Macaca fascicularis: one gene and its partners. The protein of the gene in region 5 purifies or fractionates together with the protein of the main gene of each other region. This does not show direct contact. Links are inferred from orthologs where the notes say so. Each region holds a gene or a part of one and is shown on either strand. Other genes may lie near its edges. The genes, in order: MEAF6, KAT7, BRD1, JADE1, ING4 and JADE3.

Region 1 (4,126 bases), on a different chromosome or scaffold from region 5:
GTTATATAAAACACACCTATTGGCCGGGCGCGGTGGCTCAAGCCTGTAATCCCAGCACTTTGGGAGGCCGAGGCGGGCGGATCACAAGGTCAGGAGATCGAGACCACAGTGAAACCCCGTCTCTACTAAAAATACAAAAAATTAGCCAGGCGCGGTGGCGGGCGCCTGTAGTCCCAGCTACTCAGGAGGCTGAGGCAGGAGAATGGCGGGAACCCGGGAGGCGGAGCTTGCAGTGAGCCGAGATCGCGCCACTGCACTCCAGCCTGGGCAACAGCGTGAGACTCCGTCTCAAAAAAAAAAAAAAAAAAAAAAAAAAAAAAAAAAAAAAAACAACACACCTATTGGGGAAAACTAGATGAAGACTACAAAAGACCATTCTGCCAACTCCCTATGAATCTATAATTATTTCACAATTTAAAAACGTGAAATGTAAATACAGGTGTGTGCTTATATTAATATTATAGAGAGTAAGAGAAAGCAAATGTCACAACACATTAACAATCTGAATACAGGTAGGACAGTATCAAGTGTTCATATACTATTCTTCCCATTTTTCTATAACTTGAAGATAATCCAAAAGTTTAGAAATTTTTTAAAAATATTACTAAGCAAGCAGTGGTACAGCTGGCACACAGGTATGGCAAAAATTGTGAGGGTCAGTTGGGCGTGGTGGCTCACCCCTTTAATTCCAACACTTTGAGAACCTGAGGCAGGAGGACTGCTTGAAACCAGGAGTTCCAGGCCTGCCTGGGCAACAAAGTGAGACCCCACTTCTACAAAAAAAAAAAAATGTTTTTAATTAGTCAGGTGCAGTATTGTGTGCCTGTAGTCCCAGCTAATTGAGAGGCTGAGGTGGGAGGATCATTTCAGCCCGGGAGTTTGAGGCTGCAGTGAGCTAAGATTGTGCTACTGCACTCCAGCCTGGACAACAGCATGAGACCCTGTCTCTTAGAAAAAAGAAAAGTGGCCAGGCATGGTGGCTCACACCTATAATCCCAGCACTTTGGGAGGCCAAGGCAGCAGATCACCTGAGGTCAGGAGTTCAAGACCAGCTGGGCCAACATGGAGAAACCTCGTCTCTACTAAAAATAAAAAAATTAGCCAGCCATGGTGGCATGCGCCTGTAATCCCAGCTACTCAGGAGGAAAAAGAAAAAAAGAAAAGAAAAATACTGTGAGGGTAGAACTCACGACTGATTAAAATGTGTAAAAAATTTAATAGAGTGATGTTGTATAAAGATATTGTTATATGCTGTATTTAAGCCTCACACAACCCTGTGCCAAAGGCCCAACTTTTGCTATTTTACAGACGTGAGCTTTGTCTAAGATTATTCAGTGAGGCAGTGCCTGAGCCAGAGTCCAAGAGTTCAAGTCCAGACCACACCACCACTTTACTACTGCCTCTAGCAAACTTGCTACTAAGAGCCTACAGTCCTACAAACACACACAATAGGAACACAATAGGAACACTACAGGCTTTCGACACTCACTTTTGGTTGGTCAGATACCGATCCCAGCCACGAATAATATTGCCATACATCTGAGTGTCTTCCAGGTAGCTTCCCTCAAAAGCATAGATCTGTCGCTCCAAGTTTGCCAGTGTTTCCTGAGAGATGAAAAACAAGGACATGAATAATGCCTTTTAAATGCAAACACTTAAGTCTGACCAAAATGAAATCCTGATATTAGATTTGTAAACGCAAGCTTGTCCACACTAAATCACCCTGTGGAGAGATGGATGATATGGGGAGGAGCAGCCGTTTAGGACTAAGACAGTCTAGACCTTTGGGTGTGATGGACCTCTGAATGTATAAAGCATGTCCCCAGAAAAATACACACACACGCGAAATTTTGCATATACTTTAGAGGATTCACGGAAACCAGGAGTCAAGAACCCAGGCTAACGCAGAACTTGTGCGATATCCACTCCCACGCACAAAAGGTATCGCTACCAGGAGAGGGAAGGGTGAGCAGCCTTTCAGCGTCAACTCGCTCCCCTCCCCGCAGGCTCAGAGAGGCCGCCGGCACCGGGCTGCCAGTTGCTATGGAAACCTGGAAGGGCAGCTTCAGGTGAGAGGGGCCTCCGGGGTGCCCAAGCCGAGACGTGAGGGCAGGAAGAGCTTAGCCACCAGGGTGCATTGGGCCTTGGGTGCCTGTCACAATTCCGAATTCTCCAGAATGTGTTCTTCTCCCTCGCCTGTCACCTTCTAGATATTCCCAAACACATCACAACCCTGTCTATCAAAAGCCTCCATTCAACGGATCTACTACTAGTACCAAAAAGAACACGCTCCCCACCATCCTCCAAAGTCCAGACAGGGTGACTCGGTCCCCCTCCCACACTAGCCTCCTACCCCACCCCCACCCCGCAAAGATCACGGACTCGCCCGCCTCGCCCTTCCTAGCGCCCTCTCCCCGAGTCCCGAGCCCCGGCACCGTCCTCCCTCCACGCCCCCTCCTGCGGCTGCCGCTGCCCCTCCCCCTCCCGCGCTCCCAGCTCCCTCCCGGCTCCGGATTCGCACAGCCGGGAAGCTGAACCGCCGGCGGGCCGCAGAATGCGCACCCGGCCTCAGGCCGCCGAGCACACAGCCCGCCGCGCCGCGCCCCCGGAGTAACGAACGGCCTGGCGCAGCCGGGCTTGGGGCCTGGAGGCGGGGCGGGCGCGGAGCCCCATGCCGGGCAACCCCGGTCCTAGCCCCTCACCGCCAACTCCTGCTTCCGCTTCACGAGCTCCGCCAGCTCCCGCCGGGTGTCCGGGATCTGCGGCGGCGCCGCCTTGTTGTGCATCGCCATGTTGGGCTGAGGCGGGCGGCGGCGGCGCGAGGTTGGGGGCGGTCCCTGCGCCGCCAGGGGGCGCCCCCCGCACTGCGCCTGCGCGCGCGGCTTCCGGAGACGCGTGCAGCGCCGCGCAGAGGTGCTCTGCGGCCGGGACTCTGGACGATCCTTCTCGGAGAGGTCCAGAGAGTCGGCTTCTGCTCTGCCCTTTACGCCGTTTCCTGCCCCTCGGCTGGCCGCGGGCTTTACAGACGGCACAAATCTACCGTGTCCAAAGCCTAGCTCGTCCTCAGGCCTCCGAGTCTCCTGTGCGTCCCGCCTCAGTCCACTTCAGTGAATGACTTTCACTATCCACCGCAATTGCCTGCGTCAGAAACCCGGTTTTCCTCACTCTGCACCCGGAGTAAAACGCGATACCAGGTCAAGCCCTGTGGATTCGACTCCGGAAGAGCTCGCGAATCCATTTGCTTGTGCCTGCGCCTTTTGCCACCTTCTTAGTTCATTCAGGCCCTCCCTGTTTGGGGCTACGTTATTCCAACAGCTTCTTTATTTCCACCTTTAGCCCCATTTAATCCACTATCCACAGTGGTGCCGGAATCTTCCAGAAACAAATGTTATCACTCCCCTGTTTAAAGCCTTTCAGTGGCTTCCCATTTTCCCATTGCCCTTTGGAGAAACAAGTATGTGTAGTGGTTAAGGGCACAAAACTGGAGCGAGAACTACCTTGTTCAAAATCCTATCGCTACATCGATAAAGTGTGCCCCTTTGGGTAAATAACCAAATCTCAACTCCCTCATCTGTAAAATGAAAGCAGTGATAGAATCTACTTAATACAGTTGCTGTGAGGAGTAAATCAGCTAATGTGTGTAAGGGGTTTGGCAGGTGCCAATGACTCTGCAAGTACGAATTCGCTTTTATCGTTAAGTCCAAGGTGTAGACGTTGTTTTCACTTGGCCCCTGTTGATTTCTCCCTCCTCAGCTCTCCATCTTTCACTCTTCTGCAATTTCGCTATCATAAGTCTAAGTGGGATATTTTTTCTTTTTGTTTTGTTTCTTGCTTGGAAGTCTTTGGATTTCTATAATCTGTGGGTTGGTATCTTCCACCAGTTTTGGGAAATCGCAGTCATTTTTCTTCAGATGCCTGTCTCATATTCTCTCTCTTTCTGGAACTCGAACATAAGAAACCTTTATTTTTAACCTACCGTCTATATTTTCTATCTTTTTGTCCCTCTGTGCTGCATTCTGAATAACTGGTTTCGTGTGCGGATCTTGTAACCTGCCATCTTGCTGAACTTCCTTACTAATTTTAGGGGGGTTTTGTATAGATTCCTTGGAATTTTTTACATAGATAA
Region 2 (2,206 bases), on a different chromosome or scaffold from region 5:
ACAATGGGAAAAAGGATTATATACTTTCAACTCAAATGCCTTTACATAGATTCCAAAATAACTAACCACCAAGAAGGAATTGCCAAAGGTTTAACAACATATTAGGGTATAAAAAAATACTATCTTTTGACTTACAAACGACTTTTCTATCTAATCCATTCTTCCTACTTTACCCTCAGTGAGAAATGAAAATCATCGCTCACCTACCTTTATTGTATGTGTGAAACAATTTTAAAAATTAGAAGTGAGTATGAGTTGAGACAGCATTTGTGAAGATTCCTCTACAGATGGGCAATTTCCTCCCATGTAAGAAAATCATCAAATGACAGAAGTGCTGTACAACATAAAGCTGCTTAACTGGAGCTGCTTAACTTGTGTCATCCAAATTTGAGACAGGAGCTTACCAAAACCTTCTGATACGGATAAGGCAATGCGGGCATCACTGCCAGCTACAGAAACGAGACCCAGGAAAAGGGGCATGTAGCCAAACTCCTTTAAGGGAAGGTTCTCTTGAGTCGTAAGGCCCCTACTTTGCTCTGCTAAGCCTTGAAGAACATCCAACAATGAGCAAGCTGCTGATGAAAACCTTACCTGTCTCTTTAAAACGAGGTGTTTTCCCTTCCAGTACTTGAGCATCTGAAGGGCTTGTAGAGTGCTGACAATGTCTACAGGATTCACAGCCGTCTCCTGACTGATTTCTGAAACAGAAGATCTACTGACAACCTGACCAAAGTGCAGGTTCCCACCCCTTTGCCCCCAACCAAGGTCTACTTTCCCTTAAAGGAAATCCAAATGGACAGAATCTTCTGTACTCAACCCAATCTGTTTAGAAGGAGTTTACAAAGTATTCATTTGACCAGTCCAAATAACTACAGAAGGATATTACAGCAAGAAGCTATTCTTGGCCCCTTAGAAATCAGGGTCAAATATAGACCAAACTAAATTGTTCCACCCCTGCATAAATACACAGAGATGTCTTTCTCAGAGAGATGAACCAAAAGACCTGAAGTTTTTCTTCTTGACTTTTACAAGAATTAGTGTTAGCAACTCTGGATTTGAGAAGCCAATTAATAACCATTCCCAGGGGCCAAATGCTTTGGATTCCTAGGCAACTTTAGTGAGGGTCTCTGCAGTGGTCCATTTTCAGTTGGCCTTCCTTTCTCATATTTAGGGGAAACACAATACCCACTAGAGTTAACTTCTTGGGCAACAATCAACCATTCCAAGGAGTCAAAAACCAACCTTTGATAGAAATCTCTTTGCCTTGGAAATTATGCAGGTAGCGGAGAAGTACTTCTTTCCAGTAACTGCGATAGCTTATAAGCCCCAGATCTGAGAGTGGACGTTCTGGGGAGCCAACTTTTTCTTCGACTTTGGAAAGCAAATAACCTGCCAGGGAACAAATACAAACTTTTTCTAGCAGCACTAGATCTTACCCGAATAGCAAAAAACAGTGTGCCAACATGCAAGAAGGTTTAAGAAGCACAGTCCCCTCTCATTCCAGGGAATGTGTTCCAAGACTCTCAGTGGAGGCCCAAAACTGTGGATAGTACCAAATCCTATATATGCTATGTATTTTCCTATCAACACATACCTATGCTATAGTTTAACTTATAAATTAGGAACAGGAAGACAGTAATAGTAAAACAGAACAATTATAACAATATACTGTAACAAAAGTTATGTGAAGGTTGTCTGTCTCTCAAAATATCTTATTGTACTGTACTCACCTATTTTTGGACCGCAGTTGACTACAGGTAATTGAAACTGCAGAAAGTGAAATGGCGGATAAGGAGGGCACTACTGTAATAGGCACTAAAAGAACTCCGGGGCCGGGCGCGGTGGCTCAAGCCTGTAATCCCAGCACTTTGGGAGGCCGAGACAGGCGGATCACGAGGTCAGGAGATCGAGACCATCCTGGCTAACACAGTGAAACCCCGTCTCTACTAAAAACTACAAAAAAAAACTAGCCGGGCAAGGTGGCGGGCGCCTGTAGTCCCAGCTACTCGGGAGGCTGAGGCAGGAGAATGGCGGGAACCCTGGAGGCGGAGCTTGCAGTGAGCTGAGATCCGGCCACTGCACTCCAGCCCGGGCGACAGAGCGAGACTCCGTCTCAAAAAAAAAAACAAACAAACAAAAAAAAAAGAACTCCGGAAGGCTTCACTATTAATCATTTTGATAACAATGGTTCTCTATAGGTGTGTGT
Region 3 (4,154 bases), on a different chromosome or scaffold from region 5:
CTTCTGCAGAGCCTTGACAGTGACCACCATGGAAACACCCACAGGCCGAGTCAACCTGCCGCTTCCCCTCAGGGGCACTCCTCAAGCCCCAGTGAGACAATGGTGCTGGCCATGTCCTCCTCCTTTCCGAGCGAATCCGGATACGTGCAATACACCAAAGGGCATCTCTCTGTTCTCCCCGGCACACGTGAAGGTAGACACTCTGCTCAGGCTACACAGCGAGGGGCGGCCCCCAGGACCCCCTAGAAGCTTGCAGAGACCCTCACCAGGAGGGTTGCCAGCGCTGGCTCAGGTGCCTGAAGACTTGGTCACAGAGATTTAGGAGAATTTGCCGTTCCAGAGATGGGCAAAATCAGTGAGCTGCCACCCATACCTCCAGCTCCTTGTGGCAGAGGCCTCTGCTGTTCGAACACCACGGACTGTGTCTGTTCCCAGCTGTCCCCGGGGTGCCTCGTGTGTGGGCACCTCCAGTGAAGACCACCACCCGCCGGGCAGTGCCTCCCTCCAAAGCGCCACACTTCACTGACAGGAAGCAAAATGATTTTTCAGTGACTGACTCGCAAAACAAATATTCTCAGCTGAAGCCCAAGGCCCACTCTGCATCTAGCCCTGCAAGGTCAGGGACGCCTGGCCTCGGGGCCCAGGGGGAGCAGGGGCACCCGCAGCAGCCTGGCTTCAGAGCCTCACCCTGGGCCTAGATCTACTGGGCCTCAGAAAAAGCCCTCAGGGAGCAGGCTTCCCTCTGTGAGTCCCGAAAGGAAATCCCAGCCGACTTCAAGGGCACTTCTTAAGACAGACCCTCCAGCCACCGTGTATCTTTCCCTGTATCAGACAGAAATCCTCATTGTATGTTGAAACTAGATTGCAATTACCTACAGAGAGGACAGGAGAGAAAATGTGGTCAGCCAAACCTCAGCCCCCTTGCATTTCTAGGGCCTCCAGGTACCCACTCAACCCTGGATTCCTGGAGAGCTGTCAGTACAGCCCAGCCGGCCCTGGGAGCCCTGCAGAGGTGACACCACAGCCTGCAGAGAGCTACCCTAGTGCACCCGGGACGGCGACACGCGTCATTACTGAGGTGGGGCAGAAGCAACAGTTGGTTACTCACCAGATCAGAAACGAACCTGTAATTTTCCCTCGACAGCAAAGTCCTGAGTCGCCCTAACGACAAGCAGCCCCCGGAAACCCACTCTCTCCCAGGGAGCCGCGAAGCTCTTCATCTCAACACTTTCTACAAGGGGGAGAACTGAACCGAAGGCTTCACGGCCACAGCAGCTCTCAACACGGAACTGGGACCCGGGGAGAGTAGACCCTCGGCAGCGCAGGGCGACCCACGCCCTTCCCTGCTTCCCCGCTTCCCCCCTGGGCCGGTTCTGTCCGTGCTGGGACACGCATTTCCACGGGGAGGGATCCGCGGAGGCACACACGTCGCTTCTCAAGGAATAATTCCCTTAAGTACATCCTGAAGAGCTCTGCGGGCCAAAAGCAGGGAAGGCTGCTGCCCACAAGACGGCCGCTTCCCTCTTCCCACCGCCCGCCCAGGGAGAAGCCGACCACGCGCCGGGCCGCTCCCTAAAGGCCACGGGAGCCGCGGCCGCTGAGCTGTGCGAAGTTGTGTGAAGCACACGGCACTCGGGACGGCGCTGGGCCAGGCAAACAAAAACCTCCGCCGATTCCACTAACTACACAACCACCTGGCGACCGACCCTCAAAAACAGACCCGGACGGCCGCGCTTTCTGGGGGACGGGCCCGCACCCCGCGGGGCAGGGGCTCCTGCTGCTGAGGATTCTCAGAACTCCCGCGTCCGCTCACAACAGCCGCGTTTCCCGTGAACTGCGCTTCAATCGTGTCACTCGTTTAAAAGGCCCGGGGAAGCCTCGCGTTCGTCGCGAGGCGTCTCCCTGCAAACGCCCGGGGAGGCGGCGGCGCCGGTTCTCCAGCCCGGCCGCCGCAGGCCGCGCGGCTCCTGGGCGATCTCGGGGCGCGTCCCTGCTCACAGGGAGTTCCCGTCTGGGCAGAGCTCGGCCGGCCTGTCTGTTACATAAGGGGCGGCCCGGCCGGCTCGGCGGCTGCCCGAGGCCCGACCCGACTCGAGCGCGGACTCCGGGCGGGCGCCGCGGCCCAGGCCGCCGAGACCCATAGCCCGACTCGGCCTCCCTCGACTCCCCGGCCTGACCTCCCCGGTCTCCCCGCCCGGCCTCCCAGGCTCCCTGCCTGTCTCCCCGGCCGCCCGGCCCGAACTCCCCGGTCTCCCCGCCCGGCCTCCCCGGCATCCCGGGCTCCCGGTCCGCGGACAATGCGGAGCCGCCGCCGCCGCCGCCGCCAAACATGGCGTCGGCACCACAACCCCGAGAGGCCGGGCCGAGGCGGAGGCGGCGGCCCGGGAGGCCCGGGCGGCCCGCGAGGCGGCGGGGAGGCCTCCACGGCCAGGCCTCCGCCCACTCACCTTCGGGGCGCCGCGGCCGCGGGAGCCCGGCAAGCGGGCGGGCGCGGGGGCCGGCGCGGCCGAGGCGGCGCTAATGGCGCCCGCGGCTCCTCCGCCAACGGCCGCGCAGGCCGGGCCCCGCCGCCGCTCCTGGGCGCGGGCTCCTCTCGGCCGCGGCGGCTCCGGGCCCGGCAGCGGCGGCCGCGGACTCTCGGGCGGCGGCTCGCGCGGCGCGGGCTCGGGGCCCGGCTGGAGGCCCGGCTCGGGGGGCCCGGCCGGCGGGCGCGGGCGGCGGGCGGCGGGCGCGGGACGCGGGGCTGGCTCGGACGCCAGGGCCGGGTCGCTCGCTCGCTCCCCAGCGAAGCAAACAATGCGGCGAGCGCTCCGCCCGGCGCGCTGCGTGCGAGACGCGCCCCGCCCGCCGCCGCCATGACGCGCGGACTCCGCCGCCTCAGCGGCGCGCGGGGGAGGGGGCGTCGCGAGGAGCTGGGGCCAAGTGGGGACCCTGAGGCGGCAGGGACCGGGCTGGGAGTGGGGGGTCGGGAGGATGGAGAGTGGGGGCCCTTGAGTTAGGGAGGACCGGGCCAGAGGGTCCCTGAGGAGGTCAGGAGGATGGAGAATGAGGGGCCCTGAGGCAGGGGGACAGGCCTAGGAGTGGGGGACCCGAGGCAGTTGGGGAGCAGCCGGGAGTCGGGGGCCCTGAGGCAGAAGGGCATTGGCCCGGGGTGGGGTCGCTGAGGCGGGGGGACGGCCCGGGAGTGGGGGACCCTGAGGCAGGGGGTACCACCGTCCGGGAATGGGGGACCCTGAGGCCGGGGGACCGGCCGGGAGTGGGGGACCCAGAGGTGGGGGTACCGGCCGGGAGTGGGGGTCCCTGAGGCAGAAGGGCATTGGCCCTGGAGTGGGGGGGCCCTCGAGGGCGGAGGGGGGAGCAGCCGGGAGTCCGGGGTCCTGACAGGGGGGACCGGCCAGGAATGGATGGCCCTGAGGCAGGGCGATTGGCCCAGGAGTGGGGGGCCCTGAGGCAGGGGGCGATTGGCCCCAGAGTGGAGGGCCCTAAGTGGGCAGAGGGGACCCTGTGGGCCCACTGGGTGGAAGTGGAAGGGGCACTGGCCGGGGCACCCGACTAAGTAGGGGAAGGTGGTGCAGCCGGGCTGGGGAGCCTCCCCTAGTGAGTGTCAGGCCAGGTGTGCAAGTAGTCCTGCCAGTGTGAGGGCCCTGCCCAGTCCGGCGTGAAGCAGATGCCCTTTGAGGTTGCAAGAAAAGGCCCCTGCGGGCGCGAGTTGAGAGGCCTGAGTCTCTGCCTTCGCTTTGGCCTTTTGTGTAAACTCTAAAATTCAGTGGGGTCATAACAATTTTCACTCCAAGATTAAGTCCCAAAATGTTTTAAGGTGAGGCAGGAGCTCCTTGGTTTCCTTGAGAATCTGTGATCAGGACGATGGTGCTGTGGAATCCCTGGGTTCCAGCAGCCCAGCCTGTGGCATCTAGGCAGGCCCCTCGGGCGGAGCAGCTGTCCACCCTGGGACAGACCTTCCCCATGGGGCAGCAGAGCGGCCCCACTGCTCAGGGCACTGCATCAAACACCTTATTGGGAGTGGGGTGGCTTTGTTCACCCAGGTGTCCCTGATGGGGCAAAGCCCCACAGGCCTTTTCCTGGCCAGCCCTCATGCCCATGGCACCGTGCGTGGGTTGTGATGTGAAGACTTGAGGGCAGGTAGGACCCCAGCC
Region 4 (3,500 bases), on a different chromosome or scaffold from region 5:
TCTTTGCCCTTGATCTCCAAGTAACTGATATGTTCTCCAGAGTAGAGGAAGTATATACCCTAGTTTTCTTTGTCTGTTTGCCTAGCCCAGGGCAATATAAAATAGAAGACACTAAATAAATATTTGGTGCGCAATCTCAGAAATATTCAACAACCCATCTGCACCAAAAAAGCCTACTGTAAACATTATCTAAAAATGAACTGTGTTAAGTACAGTCTTAAGAGATATTTACCATATTTACCATGTTACAGATAGAACCCATGGCTGAATATAAACCTGTTAGGTACCCCCATGATGTGTTTACCAAGTACTGTGTCATCTATAAGTCACTGTTTCATTTTAGTCTCTCAATTCCAAGAGGTAGCTTGAGATATCCCCATTTTGCACATGAAGAAATTGGGGAGACTCAAAGGCTTTCATGTGTTTGCTCAGTAAGCAGAGAACATAGGATTCTGCCCATATTTATAGAGGGCAAATTCATAGCTTTTTCCCTTAAACATGATGCCTCAAATTAAAGACTGCCTTTAAATATGAACGTCTATGCTTCTTAAATTCTTCTATAAGAAAATTAAGAAATCATTATTTCTTCCTCAACAGTGTTAAAGCTTACAAACTCCTGCCCTATACTTTGACCTACCAGGGCTTAATGCATACCTGAAACTCTTTCTTGCTCCAAAAGCTTAGTGTAAAGATTGAATATCTGTTCCTGGACTTTGCACACAGACCGTTTAATCTTTTCCCTGCGGGTCACCATGTAAGTGAGGTTCCGAACCTAGAATGTAGAGAATAAAGATTCTAAGTAAGCAATACAGTATAACAGTACTTTGGTGCTTTTTAAATTTCTTTACCTAAGAGAAATTACTCCTACTAGGGCCTTGACAGATACTTGAAATCAATATGTACTTTAAACATTTCATCCAATCTTTAATCTCATTTTGGTAAGGATTCCACATATACCCCTGAATATAGGCAGCAGCAACACTGAAGAGGGTCAGGGACCCACAGGAGTGGGAGGGACACCTAGAGAACTGGTACAAAAGTCCTGCCTCCTCCACCACACCTAACCCATCCTGGCACAGAGGCCATTCGTGTCCAAGTCAAAACTTGCAACCTCTTGCCAGTCTTTGATTATTATTGCATCAATATCTTCTATTACTTGGATGGCCAATGGCTTTAAAGCAGCTCAGAAGCCACTTCCGCTGCACTTTATCAACTATCTTCTGAAGGCTGAACTAGGTCAACATGGGGCCAAGGGTCATCAAAGTGGAGCCCCCTGCACCAGGCCCACTGGAAGACCAAATGGTTACCAAGAATCCTAGTGAATGTCTTTGTCAACTGCACACTGAACTCACTGAAAGGCCTGGAGTTAGCAGGTAGTTTATGTGTTGCTATGAGGTGTGCAAATGCCTAGGAAATTTCCAGCTTTGCCAATGATGTGCTGGTTAGACATCTCCAGTCCAGTTCTTCGTATCATCACTTGAAAAACTGGTATTGCCCTCTCCTGATTCACTTGTAACTGAAAAGACTCAGTGCTGAGAGTTGGCTCTACTTCCTATCTGATGTGCGACTGCTTTGGATCACATAACCCTAACGTATGCTCAGTAATCAACATTCAGATTTGTTCCCCACCTGTCATCACTCAATATACAAAATTTAAAGAATTAGTCTCTAAACTCCCTTAATCCTTCAGTCCTAAAATCTATTGGTCAACCTGATTAGATTACATGGGCCTGAAAACACAGATGTCAGACACAGCACACCAAATACACAATTAAACCCTTCTTCAGGAATATGTAGACAAGACTTCCTAAGTAATCTCACTGGCAGGAGTGGTTGCATGTCTTTATCTGACCACATCTTTCCCATTAGCTCCTACAGGCTGGCCTTCACTTTCCTAAAAAATCCCATTATGAGCAAACTTTTCCCCTGCCACCTTTAAAATTTTTCCCCATAAACTCAATAAAGTAGTATCACCCTAGTTTAAGTGAAAAAAGTCCAAAGGTCACCAACCTTTTCTTTTGGCATTGAGGACATCAACAAGCATCAACAAGCCTTGTGAAGACACAAAAGATTTTGCACTCTGGTGTAGTCTAAGTGTAGACTAAACCCTAACAATTCCACTTGTGCTAAAGGCAGTCTCATTTGCAAAAGGACATGAAGCATTAAGAGAGACCGAACACAGGCTTTCCCATTTGCATCACAGTAAAATCTCCTGGCCTCAACAGGAAAATGCCAAGTCAGGCTTCTCCTGCCCCTAACCAATTCACTTTCAGGATCTTCCCGTCTTTTTTTCTGTATCAATCCCTTATGTCACTAACATTTCCTGTCTTAATTATTTTAAAATTAAAGAATTGAGAATAAAAACACTCTCCCTGTCTCATAGTAAATATTACACGGATGTCAATCAGCCTAGTTAAGGTAGTCTCTTTTGTTTTCTGACAGTTGCACACCCTCAATCCAAGAAGCAGTGTCCTTTATAGAAATTTTCACCAACTTGCGAATGGAAGTGGTTAACAGACTACTCTCTTTGATAATATTGTTCTACCCAGGGGAGATTAAGAGTGAAGCTCAAGAAAGAGGGGCCAGACCTAGATCCATAGCAGATTCAAAACTTCTAGGAAACAACCGTTTTTACATTAACAAGGAATCTCACTCCTGGAAATAAAAAATGGAAACAAATTCTGACATCTTAGGAGCAGACAGGTTGCTCTCATATTCAAATCAGATGTGTAACAGAGACACTTATATCTCTCTTACTTGAAATTATCCTTGAAAATGGAAAACAGGGAAGCCAGGGAATTTGAACTTTGTATATTATTCAAATTTAATTTTGGTAGCTTTGACCAAACCATGGCTGCTACATAGAAAAATCCCACTCCTATTCCTCATGATCTCTGATGGGAAATATCTAAATGTAAACCCAAAAAGCAAAGGGCATGGTTTTCAATTGGAACAAACCAGCCTAACTCCACTTTATAGTAGTGAGGACTCTAAACCTGACTTCCCTTATGCTCCCGGTAGGACAACGCTCAGCAACCTCCACCTGCAGAGCTGGACTGATGCTCTCCCATCCTCAAAACACACCCAACTTGTCCCTTCCTGCACCCACTGCACCCGCTGCACCAAGCTCCCTACCCTGCTTTCTCTTCTCCCAACTGCCTGCAAGGAGGTATCTGAAAAAAACCATTTAAACCATCTCCAGGTACACTCTCACACCACCTTAAACCTGATCATCACTTTCCCCTAGAGCAGTGTCCCTAAACGGGACATGGGGTACCCACAAAACAGAACCACCCTCTGGAGGTGGGGCCCATGACTTTGCATTCCTAAGTTTCCGGGTCAGACACAACACCCTGAGGACCACTGCTCTAAGAAATCCAAAAGTGGTTTCAGTGTGCCTTCTTGAATTCAAAACTGTTTGCAGCACTAAAGTTCAACGTGCCTTTTTTTCAGGGGACACTGTAGACACTACCAGATTTTCAAAGGTGACCATTCCACTG
Region 5 (4,041 bases):
CTCTACTAAAAATACAAAAATTAGCCAGATGTGGTGGCACATGCCTATAATCCTAGCTACTCAGGAGGTTGAGGCAGGAGAATCACTTGAACGCGGCAGGCGGAGACTGCAGTGAGCCGAGATCACGCCACTGCACTCCAGGCTGGCGACAGAGTGAGACTTTGCATCAAAGAAAAAAAAAAAGAAGTCAAGCTAATGTATAGTATAGCAGTACACATGTATAGCACAAATACATCATTTATTGGAAATTAAGTGAAAGATGTTTTATGGAGAAAAGATGCACAATTTACAAAGTTTTGGAGACCCCTGGTCTGAGGCCCACCCTCCAGCACCTCTGTCTTTCCCAAGTTGAGAACTTGTGGGTTCTCGGACAGAGGCGCCACTCTGGTTTCATGTGGTGTCCTAATTCTGGAATGCCATCCTCTCACATCGTATCCAACCCAGAGGATGCAAAAAAAATGCTCAGCACATTTACTAAAACAGCAATAAACACAGCAGGCCAACATGTATAGCTTTTATTTACCTACCCAAGTTCCTTTTACATGTGAGTTATCTGCATTCCACCTTGCCCCCTCTCCCATTCACAAGGCCAGGATGAATCCTCTTGGCACAGAGGAAGGGGTGCCCCTTCAACTAGGGCCAGAGCCTAGATGACCTGGTGGATCCCCCACCATGAAAAAAGCAGGAAGGGAATGGAGAAGAAAAGTGTTGATCACACCTAGCCCTCACCACAGGAGGAGGGGGAATGAAGAGGTCTGGGGGACTGCCCCCATGCTATGCCCCAGTCCTTAAATACAAAGCAAGGGGAATGAAAAGGACCCTCCCTCTGAAATACAGCACCAACCTCAGCATGGAGGCAAAAGGACAGTGGGCAAGACCACGTCCCTCCGAAGGGAGAGGACTGAAGGAGAGCACATACCGTCAGTGGCTGCGGCACCCCTCCCTACCAGGGTTTGATGCAGCCTCAGCACCGGGAGTAGGGAGAGGGGAGGAGAAGGGATGACAGTACTGTGCCATCCACTTCTCCCTGAACCCCTGGCCCCAGCGCAGGCATTCCTCTGCCCACTAGCCCAAGTCAGGGGATGTGGAAGAAACTGTGTTGGAATCCAAGGCCCTTATCTATTTCTTCTTCCGTTCTTGGGAGCAGCGTGGGCAAAACCTGGAGAAGGGGAGAGAAAAGTGAGTGAAAGGAGAACGCCCTCGACCACTCAACTTAGGGACCCTCCCACTCCTGCCACTTACCATTTCCCCCGAGGCTTGGTCGTCAGCCCCACACAGGCAAAGTGGAACCACTCAATGGAACACTGGAGAGGAAGAAAGTAGTAGTAGTTAGGGGCCGGGATGGGCCAGAGGAAGGAGAGAAAGCCCCTCCAGATTCCTTAGGAACATCCTGTCCTTTACTCCATCCTTTTGGAGAATTCTTGGAAGTCCCAAGGCCAACCAGTTCCAACCATTTTCCTTCTATTCTTTTTTTCTTTTTGAGACAGAGTCTCACTCTGTTGCCCAGGCTGGAATGCAATGACATGATCTCAGCTCACCGCAACCTCTGCCTCCCGAGTTCAAGCGATTCTCCTGCCTCAGCCTCCCGAGCAGCTGAGATTACAGGCACATGCTACCATGCCTGGCTAATTTTTGTATTTTTAGTAGAGACGGGGTTTCACTGTGTTGGCCAGGCTGGTTTCGAACTCCTGATCTTAAGTGATCTGTTCACCTTGGCCTCCCAACGTGCTGGGATTACAGGCATGAGCCACCGCACCAGGCTTTCAGGTTTTTTTTTTTTTTTTGAGACAGAGTCTTGCTCTGTCGCCCAGGCTGGAGTGCAGTGGCCGGATCTCAGCTCACTGCAACCCGTGCCTCCCAGGTTCAAGCAATTTTCCTGCGTCTTGCCTCAGCCTCCCAAGTAGCTGGGATTACAGCCGTGTGCCACCATGCTCAGCTAATTTTTCTATTTTTAGTTAGAGAAGGGGTTTCACTACGTTGGCCAGGGTGGTCTCAAACTCCTGACCTCACGTGATCGCCTGCCTCAGCCTCCCAAAGTGCTGGGATTTCAGGCAAGAGCTACCACGCCCAGCCCATCTTTCTTCTATCCTGAAGTCCCAGTACTCAGCTGTGGGATTTTTCCTCTCGTACCCACTCCCTTCATGCCCCTCACAACCCCCCATCCTGAGGCAAAATGTTTCTCACATCAGGGTTGTCACAGCCAATCATCTCTCCATAGGAGACCTGGTGACAAAGGCAATAGGTGGGTTCGTTGGGATCCACAGGCATATCCAACACATCAGAGGGGTGGACACTGCCAAAGGTCACTGAGGGCATCCCATACTCAGGACTTCTGCATGCCAAGAGGAAGAGAAAGTGTCATCTGCAGAAAGGGAAGCTAAAGCCTGAGGCTTTCGGAGGTGGCAGGAGATCCTGGTAGGGCAAACGATTTGTGGCTTCTCCAGCAGATACCAAAACGGTAAGAAGAGTTCTTGGCGCAGAGATACAGAAAACGGCAGGGGGCGGTGCAGGCTGGGAGTGGGGCACCGGGAGAGAAGAGGATGTCATCTAGCAAAGGGCTCCCTGATACACTCACGTGCGCACGAGCTTTAACTTCTTCTGGGCAGTCTTGGGGGCTTCTTCATCTGAGTTTTTCCCTTTGGAACGAGCACGAGCAGCTTTCTTCTCCTTTTGAGTCCGGCCTTCTAGGGAAGAGGAGGAAAGCCAGAAGGCAGGGAGACGGAAAGATGGGTTAAGTCCTCTTCTCTCCCCCTTTCCAACCTGGTGCTCCACTTCCCACCAGATGAAGAGCTGACTTCTCCCTTTGAATCCTCGCCCCACCTCTCACAGCCCCGCCCCCCTCCTCACTCTTTTTGCCTTTGCTGGAAGAGCTGTCATAGTCACTTGACTCAATCTGTTTCTCCTTGAGATCAGCCTCAAAACGGGCCAGGTCTGTGTCCAGCCGCCGAATGTGTTTGTCCACCTGGGTGGAAAGGAAGGAGAAAGGAGAGGTACAAAACTATCTCCAATTAAAGAAAATAGGTTAAGGCAGAGTTTATGGATCTCACAGACCCCAAACAGATCCCAGCATAGTTGAAGGAAGGGTCTAAGACCCTGAGGATTAGATGGGAGGTAGGTGGGGAGCCATGAACAGGGCCATACCATCTCATAGGTCTGCATGGCAAGCTGCACCTTGTCGTCACCAAATTCCTTGCACTTGCCATAGGCTTCCTGGATCTGTTTGAGAAGGGCCAATTTTTCCTCGGAGCTCAGGCTGCGGGCGCTACTCATATACTCAGTGGCCAACTTGTCAATTTCAGCCTTCAGGTCTACAACAGAGACAGAGGCCTGGTCACAATGGCCCCTGGGTGGCTAGGTGAAACACATTTCTTCCTCTTGTTCTTTGCACCTTTTCCATCGACTAGCATCACCTTCCCACTAAAAAGTACTGCATGTTCAGAGGTACTGTGCCATGCACTCAAGTAATGGAACATACTGATAATATTTGCCTTAAAGGTCCGTTCAAGGTGCTGAAAACATTGCTATCATAGTGGGAATTTAAATTATTGAAACACAGCAAGGGATCCTTTGCACACCACATTAATACGAAGTATATTTTTGTCCATGTTTGAAGATGCTTCTTTGAAGGGCTTGCTGCTTCTTGAATTTTGTCTCAAAAGCCATTGTTTCCTTCTCAAAAACATCCCACAGCAGTTCTGTCTGCCGCAAATCAGGCTGAGTCATCTGCTGTTGCTGGTTTCCAAGTCTGTATATCAATATCCTACATTTTATTTTATTTTTTTTAATATCCTACATTTTAAAATTATTAGTATTTTTTCTTTTTGACACAGGGTCTCACTCTGTCGCCCAGGCTGGAGTGTGGTGGCATGATCATGGCTCACTGCAGCCTCAACTTCCTGAGCTCTGGTGATCCTCCCATCTCAGGCACCACCACGCCTGGCTAATTTTTTCTATTTTTTTGTAGAGACAGGGTTTCTCCACATTACCCAGTCTGGTCTCGAACTCCTGGACTCAAGCAATCTGCCTGCCTCAGCCTCCCAA
Region 6 (3,500 bases), on a different chromosome or scaffold from region 5:
TAAAAGGACTTGGAATGGCCCTAACTTTCACATTGTTTTTTGAGATGGAGTCTCACTCTGTCACCCAGGCTGGAGTGCAGTGGCGCAATCTTGGCTCACTGCAATGTCTGCCTCCTGGGTTCAAGCAATTCTCCTGCCTCAGCCTCCCGAGCAGCTGGGACTACAGGTGCGTGCCACCACACCCAGCTAATTTTTGTATAGAGACGGGGTTTCACTACATTGGCCAGGCTGGTATCGAACTCCTGACCTCGTGATCCACCCGCCTTGGCCTTCCAAAGTGCTGGGATTACAGGCATGAGCCACTGTGCCTGGCCCAACTTTCACATTTTTTAAAGAAAAAATGGTAAATTCATTGTTAAAATCTAAAGGCTACTTATGTACACATCTCTTCTAAAGTACTGACTATAAGTGTATTTTTGTCACTGAAGAACAAACACTGAAATGTAATATGGTGTCAGTAAAGAAGAAAAATCATGTTTAATAAATTCAGATGTCAACATGTCCCCATTCTGTTAGGGAGTAAACCAAAGCTTCCAAAGCATTTTAAGTCACTTTTCAGCCAACAGAGGGAGCTCTAAGCTAAGTATCTCTTTAGAATCCAAGTAAATATACTTACTTTGGAAGAATCTCTTATGTGAAACTTTATAGGGTACCAATGTCCCAGCTTTAATACATACCAGTTTACATTCTGCAAGGTCTTGTCAGTTATTGTCATCTCATCTCTTTCTATGTGAGAAAGGGGCATCATTTATAGTCATTACCGGAATCGTTTTCAAGACTAATAAATAGCATTGGAGATAATTACGCTACATTTGATTTTGTTAAAGAACCTGAGAATACTTACTATTTTGTCCCAACTGTAAAGGACAAACATAGGAAATATATACAGATGACCTTTATGCTATTCCTTTTAAGCCTACTACAGATCCACAATCATTTATCTGAAACCTCTAGGGTAAGAAAAATTAGGAAATTCAGAATTGCTCAGATCTTTTTTTTTTTTTTTTAAATTTTTTTTTATTTTTTTATTTTTTTTTGAGACGGAGTCTCGCTCTGTCGCCCAGGCTGGAGTGCAGTGGCCGGATCTCAGCTCACTGCAAGCTCCGCCTCCCGGGTTTACGCCATTCTCCTCCCTCAGTCTCCCGAGTAGCTGGGACTACAGGCGCCCGCCACCTCGCCGGGCTAGTTTTTGTATTTTTTAGTAGAGACGGGGTTTCACCGTGTTAGCCAGGATGGTCTCGATCTTTTGACCTCGTGATCCGCCCGTCTCGGCCTCCCAAAGTGCTGGGATTACAGGCTTGAGCCACCGCGCCCGGCCGCTCAGATCTTAAGAAAGTATATATATAGTATATGGCCTAAGCCCCCAGTGGGACCAGGGGCAATACCATATAACCAAACACATTAATAGTTCTCTAACAAAATATATGAGTATTTACATAAAATGGATAAGGACTACAAATGGCCTCATACTGGGTGGGTTCTGGTATTGTCCTCAAATCAGTTCTGGTGTGAAACTTCAGCAAAAACGTGTGGTTTTCAGAACTTTATAATTTTGGAATTGCAAAGAAGGGACTGTGGGCTTGTATCGTGAGATATAATACTTAAGTTCATAGTTAAGTGGTAAACATTTTCTGCTGTCACTTAAAGTCTGATATAAATGCCAATAATTGGTAAAGTGAAGACAAATTTTCAAAATTTACTTTGTTAAAGGTAAATGAAGAAAAAGACCCAATTGGTCACATAATAATTGTGAGTACCTTTTACATACAGGGTGGTTAGGTTAGGTGGCACAGGGAATTAAAATAATCTTAAGCCCTGGTTTCTATCTGCTATGTTATCTATTCTAATTATTTTAGTCATTTTATAGCCAGAATGATCTTTCTAAAATACAAATCACATCCTCCAGGGTTGACAGGACAGAACTGAAGTTCCTTAGTTTGTCAGAAGGTCCTTTACACACGTCTCTTGTATCCCTCTCCACCCTCACTCTCCATGCCTTCCCTACTCTGCTCTGCCACTTTATAGTTTCTGAAGCCTTCAGTTGCCTCTGACATACTTTGCCTGCTTTCACTACCCTGTATGAACATTTCTCCTCTCTGCCTGAACACACATTGCTGGTTTACTTGACATCTCCTTTTGGACATTAAGATTTAGCTTGGATGCCACCTCTTGGAAGTTGTCCCTGACCATCATTTCTCACAGATGCACTTCCACAGCAGCTTGGACTTATATATATAAAAACACTTGGCACATGATGCTAAACTGGCAGTTTCCCTATATTTCTTACACCAGACTATGATCTCCCTGGGGGCAGAGACCATGTCTGCCTCTCTTCATCACTGAGTGTGTCCTCAGCATGCAGCACAATCCTGGCCCATGGAGTACTGTACCTATTTGCTAGATAAATTAACAAAATGAATGAAATATAAACAGGTTCAGAAGAATGAAAAACCACTTAGGGCAAGGGAGTTCAAGAAAGGATCTGAACTAGACCTTGAAAAATATGTAGATTTTTGATAGCTGGGAGATAGGAGGAGGCATTTACAAATTGGAGTGCAGCTGAAACATGGGAGATAGGACAGTGTCAGGAATATTCATCACTGCACCTTGAGTAACCTTACTTTGTTGGAGCATAGTGCTTGTGGGGGAAAAAATGGAAAGAGCTGAGAGGAGGGTTGATATCATAATCATTATTAATTAAAAAGGCAGTGTAGTAGAAAGAATGACAAATAACCAGCTTGGGTAAAGTTACTTCACCTCTCCTGGTATTATGTAAGATTGAAGAGTTACACAGTCTTTTGCAGTCCTAAAATTCTGTGATCTTTAAAAGTGGGGTGGACCTTCTTAGGAGTGGCATGTTTAGGGGATGGGGGAGGGTCTTGAGTGCCAGGATAAGGAGTCTGGACTTCTATCTGTAGGAAGTGTAAACTCACCAAGGTTACTGACCACGGGTGTAACCTCATGAGGCCATGGAGATTTGAAGGCAGAGGAGAGACCTCAGACAGGCAGCAATGAGATCCCCCTGGGGCAGGGGCCTAGGGGAGAACTGAACAAGGCAATCCCAATGGTCTGGGCACAAAGTGACACAATAAAGACCTGGGTTTAGCCCCATGGGGTAAAGTTAGTCAGCAAGTCATCTTGGTGGTCATAAGAAGTATTGTTTCTAGAGGAAATACTGAAGAACAACCAGGCCAAATCTTTATTTTCACCCTTAAATGCAAGCCGCTACCCAGATATGGGTGCTGGAGATCATCACTGAGCTTGAGAAAGGCTGACCGTAGGGAGGTGATGGTCTCCACTCTCACTAACCTGATGCACACAGACGTTACACTTATCACAGAACACCATATCATTCCCTTCTTCACTGTCTGGAGACCGGCACACATCACAGATCACATCTTCATCATACTCTATGCCTAGCCCTTCCTCTGTCTCAATAGCATGGTTCATATTTTCATGGCAATGGCGTTCCAGGACTTCTACTGTCTTTTCCATAAGAT

The links.
Region 1: the proteins of ING4 (region 5) and MEAF6 purify together in Homo sapiens (affinity purification with mass spectrometry; 5 studies listed by BioGRID and IntAct, counting the BioPlex papers as one, with this or other methods). This does not show direct contact. The link is inferred for Macaca fascicularis from reciprocal best matches to the Homo sapiens genes ING4 and MEAF6.
Region 2: the proteins of ING4 (region 5) and KAT7 purify together in Homo sapiens (affinity purification with western blotting; 6 studies listed by BioGRID and IntAct, with this or other methods). This does not show direct contact. The link is inferred for Macaca fascicularis from reciprocal best matches to the Homo sapiens genes ING4 and KAT7.
Region 3: the proteins of ING4 (region 5) and BRD1 purify together in Homo sapiens (affinity purification with mass spectrometry; 5 studies listed by BioGRID and IntAct, with this or other methods). This does not show direct contact. The link is inferred for Macaca fascicularis from reciprocal best matches to the Homo sapiens genes ING4 and BRD1.
Region 4: the proteins of ING4 (region 5) and JADE1 purify together in Homo sapiens (affinity purification with mass spectrometry; 4 studies listed by BioGRID and IntAct, with this or other methods). This does not show direct contact. The link is inferred for Macaca fascicularis from reciprocal best matches to the Homo sapiens genes ING4 and JADE1.
Region 6: the proteins of ING4 (region 5) and JADE3 purify together in Homo sapiens (affinity purification with mass spectrometry; 3 studies listed by BioGRID and IntAct, with this or other methods). This does not show direct contact. The link is inferred for Macaca fascicularis from reciprocal best matches to the Homo sapiens genes ING4 and JADE3.

Annotation. Positions count from the first base shown.
Region 1 is NC_088375.1:197,413,481-197,417,606, reverse strand, and holds the start of MEAF6 (chromatin modification-related protein MEAF6), read right to left. Parts: upstream 2,801-4,126; 5' UTR 2,793-2,800; coding exon 2,703-2,792; intron 1,606-2,702; coding exon 1,490-1,605; intron 1-1,489.
Region 2 is NC_088390.1:56,883,167-56,885,372, forward strand, and holds part of KAT7 (histone acetyltransferase KAT7), read right to left. Parts: intron 1,390-2,206; coding exon 1,243-1,389; intron 699-1,242; coding exon 592-698; intron 1-591. UniProt on the Homo sapiens protein: Catalytic subunit of histone acetyltransferase HBO1 complexes, which specifically mediate acetylation of histone H3 at 'Lys-14' (H3K14ac), thereby regulating various processes, such as gene transcription, protein ubiquitination, immune regulation, stem cell pluripotent and self-renewal maintenance and embryonic development.
Region 3 is NC_088384.1:1,729,638-1,733,791, reverse strand, and holds the start of BRD1 (bromodomain-containing protein 1), read right to left. Parts: upstream 2,801-4,154; 5' UTR 2,448-2,800; intron 2,350-2,447; exon of another isoform or gene 688-2,349; intron 1-687. UniProt on the Homo sapiens protein: Scaffold subunit of various histone acetyltransferase (HAT) complexes, such as the MOZ/MORF and HBO1 complexes, that acts as a regulator of hematopoiesis.
Region 4 is NC_088379.1:133,880,415-133,883,914, reverse strand, and holds part of JADE1 (protein Jade-1), read right to left. Parts: intron 773-3,500; coding exon 655-772; intron 1-654.
Region 5 is NC_088385.1:7,574,393-7,578,433, forward strand, and holds the end of ING4 (inhibitor of growth protein 4), read right to left. Parts: intron 3,309-4,041; coding exon 3,142-3,308; intron 2,963-3,141; coding exon 2,848-2,962; intron 2,685-2,847; coding exon 2,576-2,684; intron 2,333-2,575; coding exon 2,185-2,332; intron 1,305-2,184; coding exon 1,243-1,304; intron 1,160-1,242; coding exon 1,120-1,159; 3' UTR 501-1,119; downstream 1-500.
Region 6 is NC_088395.1:47,145,887-47,149,386, reverse strand, and holds part of JADE3 (protein Jade-3), read right to left. Parts: coding exon 3,310-3,500; intron 1-3,309. UniProt on the Homo sapiens protein: Scaffold subunit of some HBO1 complexes, which have a histone H4 acetyltransferase activity.